Neodiprion lecontei: one gene and its partner. The protein of the gene in region 1 binds, or shares a complex with, the protein of each later gene. Links are inferred from orthologs where the notes say so. Each region holds a gene or a part of one and is shown in the gene's direction. Other genes may lie near its edges.

What was found. The genes of interacting proteins can lie anywhere in the genome.
Region 2: ruvB-like helicase 1 (region 1) and bromodomain-containing protein 8 share a complex: the UniProt entries of both Homo sapiens proteins name them as parts of the nuA4-related complex. The link is inferred for Neodiprion lecontei from reciprocal best matches to the Homo sapiens genes RUVBL1 and BRD8.

Annotation. Positions count from the first base shown.
Region 1 is NC_060263.1:38,142,415-38,147,558, reverse strand, and holds ruvB-like helicase 1, read left to right. Parts: upstream 1-1,970; 5' UTR 1,971-2,084; coding exon 2,085-2,225; intron 2,226-2,718; coding exon 2,719-3,394; intron 3,395-3,655; coding exon 3,656-4,209; 3' UTR 4,210-4,539; downstream 4,540-5,144. Other genes in the region: solute carrier family 35 member E3, read left to right, coding at 80-571, 658-810, 896-978, 1,109-1,247, 1,322-1,390; glycine dehydrogenase (decarboxylating), mitochondrial, read left to right, coding at 5,033-5,144. UniProt on the Homo sapiens protein: Possesses single-stranded DNA-stimulated ATPase and ATP-dependent DNA helicase (3' to 5') activity; hexamerization is thought to be critical for ATP hydrolysis and adjacent subunits in the ring-like structure contribute to the ATPase activity.
Region 2 is NC_060266.1:5,248,832-5,256,053, reverse strand, and holds bromodomain-containing protein 8, read left to right. Parts: upstream 1-1,569; 5' UTR 1,570-1,754; coding exon 1,755-1,773; intron 1,774-2,440; coding exon 2,441-5,487; intron 5,488-6,194; coding exon 6,195-6,377; 3' UTR 6,378-6,614; downstream 6,615-7,222. Other genes in the region: T-cell immunomodulatory protein, read right to left, coding at 1-848, 1,284-1,330; uncharacterized protein LOC124295608, read left to right, coding at 7,073-7,222. UniProt on the Homo sapiens protein: May act as a coactivator during transcriptional activation by hormone-activated nuclear receptors (NR). Isoform 2 stimulates transcriptional activation by AR/DHTR, ESR1/NR3A1, RXRA/NR2B1 and THRB/ERBA2.

The DNA of each region.
Region 1 (5,144 bases):
CAACCTAACCTGTAACCGGTGACGTAAATGTCAGAGAATATTTATCGCGCCATAAAGATCTCAATAATAGTCTGAGAAAATGAACAAAAGAGTATTAACATTTCTCTGCTTAGTACTAAATATATTTTTTTCAATACTTATTGTATTGTTAAATAAAATGGTGTACGTGAGGATTGGATTTCCAAATGTCACCCTGTCCATGATACACTTTGCAATAACATTTCTTGGGCTAATCATTTGTGAAAAATTGGATGTATTTTGTATAAAAGATGTTGCCATTAAAGAAATGGTACCTATCGCCCTAACTTTCTGTGGGTTTGTTGTCCTTACTAATCTGAGTCTGGAACACAACACGATCGGCACTTATCAAGTTACTAAAATGCTTACAACCCCCTGCGTCGTTGTTATGCAGGCAATATGTTATAAAAAGAAATTCGGTTTGCTTGTTAAACTAACATTAATACCCATCATAGCTGGAGTTGTCATCAACTTTTATTACGACATTAGGTTTAATATTCTTGGGACTATTTACGCTACTCTAGGTGTTATTGTTACATCTCTGTATCAAGTTGTAAGTAGGATAACTCTCACTGCTTTATGATGAATTCCGTAACCTGTTTCATACTTGAAGCTCATGGTTTTGCACATTTTTTCCAGTGGGTCAGCAGAAAGCAAAAGGAATTCCAAATGGATCCTATGCAGCTCCTTTATTATCAAGCACCGTTATCTGCAGCAATGCTGTTTGTGATCGTACCATTTCTGGAACCCATTGGTAACACCCTCCAGCATAGCTGGACATTTACAGATATTGTAAGTTGAAAGACACTTTGACTACTTTTCAATACTAAAGTTTAAACATTTGCTAACTAAAGGGATAATTTTTTTATTTCCACAGCTGATGGTGCTGCTATCGAGCGTCGTAGCATTTTTTGTGAACTTAACATCGTACTGGATAATAGGATACACATCACCATTAACGTATCCTTATTCAAACAAGGAATTGTTATTTTAAATGAAATTTTTTAATTCGATGAAAAATTATTATCTACCCAATTTATTTGCCATGCGCACAGCAATTCTCAATATGTTCTTACATAAAGTTTTCCAGTTATAATATGGTTGGACATTCAAAATTTTGCCTTCTTTTACTTGGTGGCGCTATTATATTCCACGAATCACTTGCACTGAATCAGGCTATCGGAATTACTCTGACGTTGATTGGAATTGTATTATATGCTCGAGTCAAGGCAAGTATGTGTTTTCACCGTGCTGGTAAATTTACGGTGTGAAATTTAATCAAATATGGTCTTTTTGTTTACAGATGAAAGACGGCATATCGAATATTTCACGTTTGACATTGGAAGAAGGCAAGCCACTTTATAAGACGTAGCACTTGAACAGAAAAATAATAAAAAGAAAATTGTGATACAATGTGCCGATTTTATTATTTATTTAATATTTCCCTTACTGAAACCTAAGAATATTGAACAAATAGATCTTTTATGATGATGATATAACAGAAGTTTCAAAATATGTCCAATCTGTTCTGAATTCTTTGAATACAATTTTCCCCACCTAGGACCAATCAAATTTTTTTTCCTTCACCCTATTTTCTCAAATATATTTAAACTGGGTGAAAAAAAGTGTGTTCTGTTCGCCAATAGCATTAAAATTAAAAATTATTGCAAAAGCAGGTCGAAGTCATACCTAGGGCTGAACACTGAGTGCAGTATTCAAAGAAATGTAATGAAACTGTCAAATTATATTGATTTATTAGCTTTTATCCCAGGTAAATCGGACCCGACGGTTTAGCTGCAATTTGGGCTTATATACTGAATGTAGGAAGATCATAGTACTCGCGAGATTGATGTAAAAAGCTGCAGACATCTGTTGGTAAAAGGCATAACTTAATGGGATGAATCCGATTGGATGATGTCGTATGTACGTCACATGCCTACCGACGCATGAAAACGGTGAAAACATAATTCACCGCGGCAAACAAACGTAGAACGTAGTAACACCGCACGCCGCGTGAGAGACTTGAAATTGCTTGAAATTTTGCAAAATTTATTTAATTATCAATAATGAAGATTGAGGAGGTGAAAAGTACGGCAAAAACCCAGAGAATTTCTGCACACACGCATATTAAAGGTCTCGGTCTTGACGAGAATGGTATTGCGATTCAGATGGCTGCCGGTCTCGTCGGTCAAGAAATGGCAAGAGAGGTTAAAAAAAATTTTCAATTATTTATTCCACACCTACTTCTACCCGTGGATACCGTTTGAACTTAATGTTGTGTGCCTGTGTTTTCATTTTTATTTAAAATTCAAACCCGTTCCTTCTCGTGTCGTCGTCTTATAGATATATCAAAACAACATCGTACAATCTAACCTAACCTCACATCACTGAAAACTACATACTCCAAAAAGCAAAATACAATATCAGATTTAACAACGGTTTAGAAATATCTCATAAACTCAACAATCTATGTGATACTTGGGTATTTATACTCTTACCGTTCTGAATGATATAATAAACTTCTTGCCCAGTGCCACTGATTTGTTCAACCGCTGTTGAAACAACTATTTCATCAATTATTTCTTTCCTTTGTAAATTGATCATTGTCGCTAACCCACAGCTTGAGTTATAATAACCAATTGTTCATTACAGAGAATTATTTTATTTTTACCTCATTCTTGAATGACATTAATTCTACAGGCTGCTGGTGTTGTCGTCGATATGATAAGATCGAAGAAAATGGCTGGGCGAGCAGTCCTGCTTGCAGGACCACCTGGAACAGGGAAAACAGCAGTTGCCCTTGCAATAGCGCAGGAACTGGGTAACAAAGTGCCATTTTGTCCGATGGTTGGTTCCGAAGTATATAGTTCAGAGATAAAAAAAACAGAGGTACTTATGGAAAATTTTAGACGAGCTATTGGGTTGCGAATAAAAGAAACCAAAGAAGTCTACGAAGGTGAAGTAACGGAGCTGACGCCTGTGGAAACTGAGAACCCAATGGGCGGTTATGGAAAGACAGTTTCCCATGTGGTTATTGGGTTAAAAACTGCTAAAGGAACAAAACAGTTGAAACTTGATCCATCTATATACGAATCTCTCCAAAAAGAAAAGGTTGAGACCGGCGATGTAATTTATATCGAGGCAAATAGCGGGGCTGTGAAACGACAAGGACGTAGTGACAATTTCGCAACGGAATTTGACTTGGAAGCAGAGGAATACGTGCCTTTGCCCAAAGGTGATGTCCACAAAAAGAAAGAAGTTATCCAGGATGTCACGCTGCATGATTTAGATGTCGCTAACTCTAAACCACAAGGAGGACAGGACATCATGTCAATGATGGGACAACTCATGAAGCCCAAGAAAACTGAAATCACCGGTAAAATTTGATTACTTAAGTGCAGATTTCTTTTAGAAATATATTTTTTTCTCGTAATCATTATCAGTATTGTATTGATCAAACTTCAAGTATTGATTACTGTAGTTATATGCCTTAGCAACAGACAGTTCTGAATCTCATCGAATTGTCACCGAATATTTTGAACTTCTCAAAAGAAAAGTTGCAGATGATAAAAATTGAGTGACACTTTACAAACCGGATGAGTCTCTATTTTTAAATGTGTTACATGTATATTTTCAGATAAACTGCGGAAGGAAATAAACAAAGTTGTGAACAAGTACATCGATCAGGGTATCGCAGAACTGGTACCTGGAGTTCTGTTCATAGACGAAGTACATATGCTGGATATTGAGACATTTACATATCTCCATCGTGCTTTAGAAAGTGCAATTGCTCCAATAGTTATATTTGCAACAAACCGTGGTCGTTGCATCATCAGAGGCACAGAAGACATTGCTTCGCCACATGGAATACCACTCGATTTACTCGATAGATTACTAATCATAAGAACTTTGCCATACTCGAGAAAGGAAATTGAACAGATTGTTAAATTGCGGGCTACGACGGAAGGCTTACAAGTTGAAGACGAAGCTTTGCAAACTCTGGGTGACATTGGAACTAGGACAACGCTAAGATATGTCGTTCAGTTGCTTACACCAGCTGCATTAACTGCCAAAGTTAATGGAAGAACTGTGATTAAGAAAGAAGATGTTGAGGAAGTCGGAGCTTTGTTTTTGGATGCTAAATCATCGGCTAAAATCCTGACACAGCATAAAGATAAATACATGAAATAAACGTGTTGCGTTGTTAATCCTGAGACTCGAATATTATTGAACAAATTTTTAGATTCGACGTGGTTATTTTGTTTCTGAATACAATTGTAGCAGTTTTACAATTAGTTTCACATGACTTTTCTGAATGAAAAGACTATCACGAAAGAATACACATTCGCCAGAGAAAATACAACTTATATAAATGTGTTCCAATTACCAATATGTTGTAAATTTAAGATTCCCATAATTGTGAATTGTCTGCAATTTTCCAGTTTTATGTACTTCATATTTAGATTGTAATATGTTATGTTCCATAGACCATGTCAATAAAATTCTTTCATATCCTGCGAATTTATCAGTGTACTGTTATTAGATATAAAACTAAATTTCATTAGCCAAACAAGATGCTGCAAGCAAAATGGATTATATAAAATAGTACAAGCATTTGGTAATGGAATGAAATATTTTTTTGACTAATAGGAAAGGAAAGATTTCATTTGAAAAAGCGATTTCAAGTTATCGCAGATGTGAATAACATTCCGCAATGCACTAACACAGTGTAATCTCCATTAACTGATAAATTATTGCATTTCAGTCGCATTTTCATTGACATAGTCTAAGAATCTCCGCATTGTGCCAAGGTCAACAAAGTTCAAATCGCAATCGAGAGACGCGCACACATCACGTGGCGTCATCGCCTTCAAGTGGTATAAAATCTCAGCTCACGTTTTGAACTCTTAGTTACGCACGGTTTAATAAGAGAGTACAGAGTTCGTTACCAATAGCAGGGAAAACAAGTTTCTAAATATCACTATCAAGTATTAATTTGAAATAATTTAACACGATGCAGTCAATAATTAAAGTTTCTACCTGTTCCCGACTTTTACACACTCAAAAATATACGATCAAGTATGCACGAGCCTTAGTTTCAAACAGTATTAATTTATCCAATTTCG
Region 2 (7,222 bases), on another chromosome or scaffold:
AGTGTATCATAATAGTGCTGTTCTTGCATGCGGCATCATAACATGCGGGTAGAATCAGGTCCATTTTGCCAGTGAGCTCGACGTCCAAGAATAAAGATTGACCAACGACGGCGAAATTATGCGGCAAGCTGATGTTTTGATGAAGAGTGAAGTTCTCCTCGCTTCCCAGCCAAATTTCAAATCCATTCTCCGTTGTTATAAATAAATCAGGCATAAAATCGCCATTGTAATCTAGAAACGCGTTGGAATGTGGTTTTCTTATGAGCGCAAAGTTATCCCCATTTTTAGATTGCATTTTTACAACTGCTGGTGAAGTTCTATTCTTATTGAATATCCAAAATGTTCTTGTTTGATTTGCATCAAGTCCAAACAAATCAATAATCATGTCTTGGTTGTAATCGATGGCTAACGGCTGTCCAAACATCACAATTACTGGATTCGACTCAGGTGTACAATTCAACTGCCCGTTTCCGCCCCACAAAATGTGTCCGTAGGTTAGACCGTCCTTTATCGTTGTTACGAAAACATCCATAAATGCGTCACCATCAAAATCCCCAGGCACAATGCTGGTCACTGAATTATTAAAGGTACACTTTAAGCCTACCCCAGGCCTCAGGAGAGGCTCTTGCTCGGCTGCCAGCATAATTTCAACGGATTTACCATCCGTGTCGATCACAAATACATCCGTCAATTCGTCAGAGTTGAAATCGCCAAACGCTGCAGGCATCTTGTCCAAAATTTTTCCATATACCGTTGATGTTATGTCGCTGCATCGTGCGACAATTAAAAAATTCGAGATGAGGTAAACAAATAAAATTGCCTTGCCCATTTCGATAGCTTTACATAGTCTGCAATGAAAAAAAGATACGCAGTAATGAGTCATCTGCTTATTTAATTTCTTTTCAGTTTGTGGTTTCTATGCCCATCTAAGCTATTTACATTTTATTGTAATTCTGTCAATTGTATGTCACAAGTTTTACTTGCAATGCGAAGCATATGTAAGTATCAAGGAGGCAGGTAATGATTTATGTTTACTCAATAAACATAAAACACATTTTTATCAGAGGTTAGAACTTCTCGATATTTTACTTATTCTCACCTAGTGGAGATGTCAAGATGTTGTATTTCTTTATTTCTGAAGATCAAAGACGATTGATTGAATTTTGTTGCAAACAGGAATCTGTCCCTTGTATTTCCTTATTCAAGCATACAATATTCTATTAACGGGTACTGCATAGTTCTTAAATGGACTTTTGTCATACTCAATTGTCAAAATAACACACCCAGGTACATGTAATCGAAACAGCCGTCCGGAAAATGATCTATGCATGTATGTACGTCTTTTTCTATCTCGTTGGTTTTGAAGGACATGTATAGTTTAAAACAGCTTCAGCTTTGCCACTACAGCACAATTTAACTAAATGTAGTGCTTTTTTTATAACGAAAATAGGGGATTGCCTGCAGTGTTCTGAATTCTATCAGTTATCTTGTATCTCTTTTACACTATCAAGTCGACCATTGGCTCTCTCTCTCGCTGTCTTACAAAGTTCTTGCGCATCAGTCTGCGCAACTTCAGCACTGGGCTGTATTCTGTGTGGTTGCATTAGCGTATTGTATTTCCCGGTGGTAAATGAAAACTGAGAAGTGCACGAAACTGAACGAGAATTGCGGTACGTTTTGTATCAAAACATGAATGACCAAGAAACTCAGTGAATTGTTAATGAGACACACATGTAAGAAGAACTAGTAGCAACATGGCATCTGCACAGGACAGTAAGTTATCGCCTAGACTCTGTATATTCACTAATTTTGCCGTTTCGTTTACTCACAGTTTTTAGGTTAGAGTACACAAACGACTTATTATTCAACTGTGTACGGTGATTTCACGGTTTTATTTGTCACAAAACACTGATTAATCCTAGTATTTATTTCTTCGAAATCATTTAGACTAAATTTACAGATGGAGATTTCCACGCGAAACCGATTTTATTTGTGTATTGCAAACATAACCACAATATCATTCGAATTGGATGACAAAGGCGATTGATACTTTACCAAGCTTTTATTTTTAACTGTATTCCAAATTGGACTGATGTTTCGAGAATCTTTATATTTTCCAGGTTCAAGCCGTAGTTATAGACAACCATTTCTCCTTTCAGTTTTTTTACTCACACATATTTTGGAAACAAAATTTTTAAATCTCTAATTTTCACACACCAACAAGTTTTTCTTGTATTTCTAAAGCATTGCCAATCATCACTGAAGAGAATCAATGTATCTATGTAAGAAATTAAACATGATAATCATTGGAGACATGCTTGAAAGTACAATTTACTTTTGGAGATACTTGCCAAGTCTTAGTTAAATGGATTGCTGTTCTTGCATGGAAGTCTCCAGAGATGATTATTCCTCAACTATTAATAAATTATTGCAATCGTAGGGATGAAAGTAAAACGTGTTCCGTACGATACATGGAGCACAAGAGAGCAGCTATGCTTGGCTGCAAGCGTATTGTATTCTGGGGAGAATGTTCAGAATTGGAAAGCCGTGTCCGAATCATTGGAGCCGTTTGCTGAAAAAGAAGCATTGCGACCACCTGATTGGTTTTCTCAAAAGTCTTGTGCCGTTCAATATTCACACTTGTTGGAAACAGCGGATACTCCGAAAAGGAAAAAAAGGGAGAGCGGAGAAACGCAAGCTGAATCCATAGTGAATCGATTAACACAGGAAAGAATTGCGGAACTGAAACAAATTCTTGCGTTTCAAAGAGACGAATATCAGCAGCTCAAAGCGGAAGTAAACCTTTTAAAATGCGGCCCCTTATCCGACGATAAGCTGCAGAAAATGTGGCAAGTCATTGAACAAGAAGAACGGGAACAGGAGCAAAAAGTCAGAGCATACGCCGCATGGCTAACCAAACGACAACAAAAGCAAGAATCTATGATAACACCGCCACCACTTGTCCACCGAAAAGCGGTAGACAGTGTGATGGAAAACCATGATGCTTCTGTATCGGAGTCATCGAATAATGACGAGGATGAAAAGAAACGAGGGGGCAGATCGCCGCTCCTGACGAGCTTATTAAAGTCCACCAGCCCAACGACTCAAGTACAAACACCACCGACGCCAACAAAAGCTAGCTCCCCTACCATAGCCAGTCTCCTAGTTTCGAGTCCAAAGGTCCCGAGTTCCCAGCTAGATCGTGGTCTGGCACAAAATGTTTCTTCCCAATTGCAGCAATTGGTCTCTACCGCAATAGCAAACGCGCCACCCGAAAGACCTTCAGCTGGTGCGCCAACGCTTTCTATGCTTTTGGAATTGCCGGCAAATCCGCAGCGTGGACCGTTACCAAACTTGCAACCGTCCTCTACGGTAACAACGCAGCTTAGTATGCCTCCCGAAATTCATTCTTCTCTACCAACCAACGCACCGTCAACATCCGAAGGTGTTTTGCAAGTAATCAATCCTCCACCGCCGGTATCGGTATCTCAGAACATCCCGGTAACAGAGAGTATGGTACAGATAATAGACCATATAGACGAAGTTATTGGGAAGGATATAATGGCCGACGTTATTGACAAAGATGAAATAAACGAAATCATTGGAGATATTGAGGAGCTGATCAAAGAGGAGATCACTTCAAGCCCAAGAACGAACGAGACTCCATCCGCGGCCACTGTTGTGGAACCATTGACTGTACAAACGGTTCAAGAAACTGTCTCAAAGCGTCCCGAACCTCGCCCGAAACCTCGTCCAGAACCTCGGAACGTCGATGAGCCAGTATCATTGTCGGATTCACCTGAAAGTGAACTAGCAATAGAAGATATCGATTCAAGCACGTCAAATATCGCGGAAATCATTGGAACCGTAGCTGTAGAATCTACGGAGTCGAAAATAATGGTCACTTGCCAATCGCCGAAGGTTGAAGAGAAAGCCAAATCAGAGGCTGGGGATGCGGATGAGGAAAACATGGGTAACGAATCGTTAGCAGAGGAACTTCGGAATTCCCCTTATGAAGGAGACGATACTACCGAAGAAGTGGAGTTGAGTCCCAAAAGCGAAGGAAAAGAGTCTGAAAGCAACGAAAACACGCCGACGGATACAAAAGGGTCGGAAGACCGGAATATGGAGAAGAGTGCCACACCAGAGGTGACGGAAGACGCGATAAAGGAAGAAACTGACCTCATCGAAGCTGAGAAGGATACAACAAGCGACAGTACAAGTGATGAGAAAGAGCCTGTTCAGGAATCGGAGATTAAACAAGAACCGCAAATAGATCAACTGGAAATGGATCTTGCTGAGATAACCGGGGACCCACAAGACAAATCGGCTGAGGCAGCGCCCGCCAGTGTATCGTCCGAGACTTCAAACGATGGAGCTAGTGCAGAGGAAGCGGAGAAATCTCAGGACATAAGTCTGATTTTAGAAGATGACGAAAGTTCGCAAGGGTCGCAAAACAAGGACAAAACACCTCCTCAAGAACAGGTATCAGATATGGTGGACACTTTTGAGTCGTGTCCTGAGGAATCCACCGTTTCAACCGAGGAGGAACCTGATGTGGTGGTAAAAGTCACCGAGAACGTGCCAATCGTCATGGACGAATCAACAACTGAGTCCAAGGACAATGTTTCGGAAGAAATGGAAAAGGAAGAAGACAAGAAGGAGAGCTTTAAAGACTCTATCGACGTGATAGTTCATCAAGTCAACGACAAGGTGGCAGAGGTAGGCGGCGTATCAGGGACTGATCCAAATCCTCCTGTTATACCGGAAGCTGTGGAGGTTGTGAAAGAAGAAGCTCCAGATGTTCTGGAGCCCACGAAGACCGAAGAGTCAACATTAAAAGAGGAGGCAGAGAAAATGGTTATTGAGAAAACTGTGGAAGCAGAAGAACAAAACAAAATTAAAGTCGAAATTGATGCAGAATCTGTTACGGAGAAGAACGACGAGGTGGCAAGAGACAATGAAATGCCAGAGGATAAACCGGTAATAAAAGAAACCTTGGAACCTGAACCAGATGTCAAAAAAGAGCCGGTCACTGGAATCGCAGACGATGGAGACCTTGACGAGGAGGAATCTTCGTTGAGTAAATTGAGTGGTGGTCGCACCATGAAAACCTACTCCAAGAGGCCGGTTGTTACGATAGACAGTGAACCAGAGAATGAAGGAAGTGGGGAAGGTGCCGATTACCGTGCTTGGAAGAAAGCTGTTATGTTGGTATTTAATAGACTGGTCACACACAAATATGCGTCTGTATTTCTGAGGCCCATCACGGAAGATCAAGCGCCGGGTTATCATTCGGTCATTTTCCGTCCCATGGATTTGTCAACCATTAAAAAGAACATTGACAATGGAACCATCAGGTCTACAATGCACTTCCAGCGAGATGTTATGCTGATGTTCCAAAACGCCATTATGTACAACAAACAGGATACATTTGTCTACAAAATGGCTGTTTCCATGCAAGAAGAATGCTTGCAACACATGCAGGTGTGTTTACGAAAATATTGTATTAACCTGTTTTTGGTATTAGTCAAAGCTTAAGGGGATATAGATATATACGAGCAGACAGCTGCAAAAGCAGGTAAATTTTGCGGATTTATATCTCTACAATTCTCTATTCTCAACATTCGAGTTTTGTTTCTTTATTGAATAAAAAAAATGATCAACAATGAATGAAAAATCGAATCTCAACTTCAAATGGTCGCCGTTTTGTCGGAAAGAAAAAATTTCGAAGGGTGTTGCGATGTTGTCAAGTTTGATGTGGAAGGATGCATAACTATGCGAAGTAATTGAGAGTACGAGTTACCTGTCTTATGCTGTTCCAGAAAAGAGAAAATACTTAGAATCAAAAGAAAGTTTCAAAAGAGGATTTGTTCTTTAAAATCAGTACGTGTTGTACAGCATTCCAATCAACGGCGATAAATTCAATTCCAGATGTAAATATTCAGTTTAAAAAAATATCTTGCAAAGTCTTTTCTCGGTCAAAAATAAGAAAATGACTTATCTTTACAACTGACAAATATTGGATAGACTAATGCTTGGCAGTCAGCCATAACACTCAGCACGGTAGTATATCTGGGCATGTATCTCTGACTTGGATTTGGCACGGGAGTAACCCACGCCATGAATCATTTTTATTTGAAGCCTGGAAACTTGAGATCACTGATTTAGTGCTTTATTTTGCCTTTCGACAGATATTAGTACAAGTCACCGGCGAGGGACCGTTTAGAAGAGAAACAAGAACAGCTGCTAGCAGTAGTAGCGATTTTGGCGATTCGTCTGCAAAACCGCAGCGAAAAAGAAGTCACATAACTCCTAGCCCACATGACTCTGACAGTGCACGCACTAAGAAACGAAGAAAATCGGAGAACGATTAATACGTTCAAACAGTCAAGTGTCGATCTGTTGCTTGATAATGTTTCACGTATATCGTGTTCAAATTCCTTTCACCAACTTGTGGACAAAGTTGCTAGCTTGCGGCCGGTTGAAGGTACAAAAACATTATCGGGAAAATTGCACTGTCCACAGTACTGCAAGGTGTTAAAGTGTAGTACGCCTCATGGACAATATGTCACAACTGTATATACCATAATATAGAAGAATTATCTCCACAACTTGTGTTACATTTTTTATTGATTCATAATATTCTGATATCAGCCGTCGAAAAAGGATTTTTCCTCATTAATATGAACCATGGATATTTCAATTATTTCAATACTTGTGAAAATTATGAAAGCGTACTTACATTGATTCGAATTCTGGCCAACGATTTTCGTGATTTTTTCTATTGCATCGAATGCTTCTAAAACGGAACGAGGTAATTGTGAAGTGAAGAAATTCCATCTCTACATATCGAACACCCTTCATAGTTTCGTGACCACAAATGTCACAATTCATGAAGCAGTGAAAAAAAAAAGAATCAACAGAAGTTACTCTTAAATACTGATTTTGGCAGACCATAAGATGACTCTAGGACATGTCAAAATTTACAAGTTTCTCTTACTAATGACTGAAAACCGAAAATAAAGTTTCTACAGTAGTGAACAATTGTTTAATAAATATATTCTGAGATATGGGTGACCATGCTAGAGGAGATTGTAAAAACGCAATCTGCAGCTCCGAAGAAGAAGAACTTCAACAGGGAGTCTACAACAACTTTGTACATGTCGCTCCTATCACGTATGCAATGATGGCGCACTTAAACATCAATGAGAAGAGATTT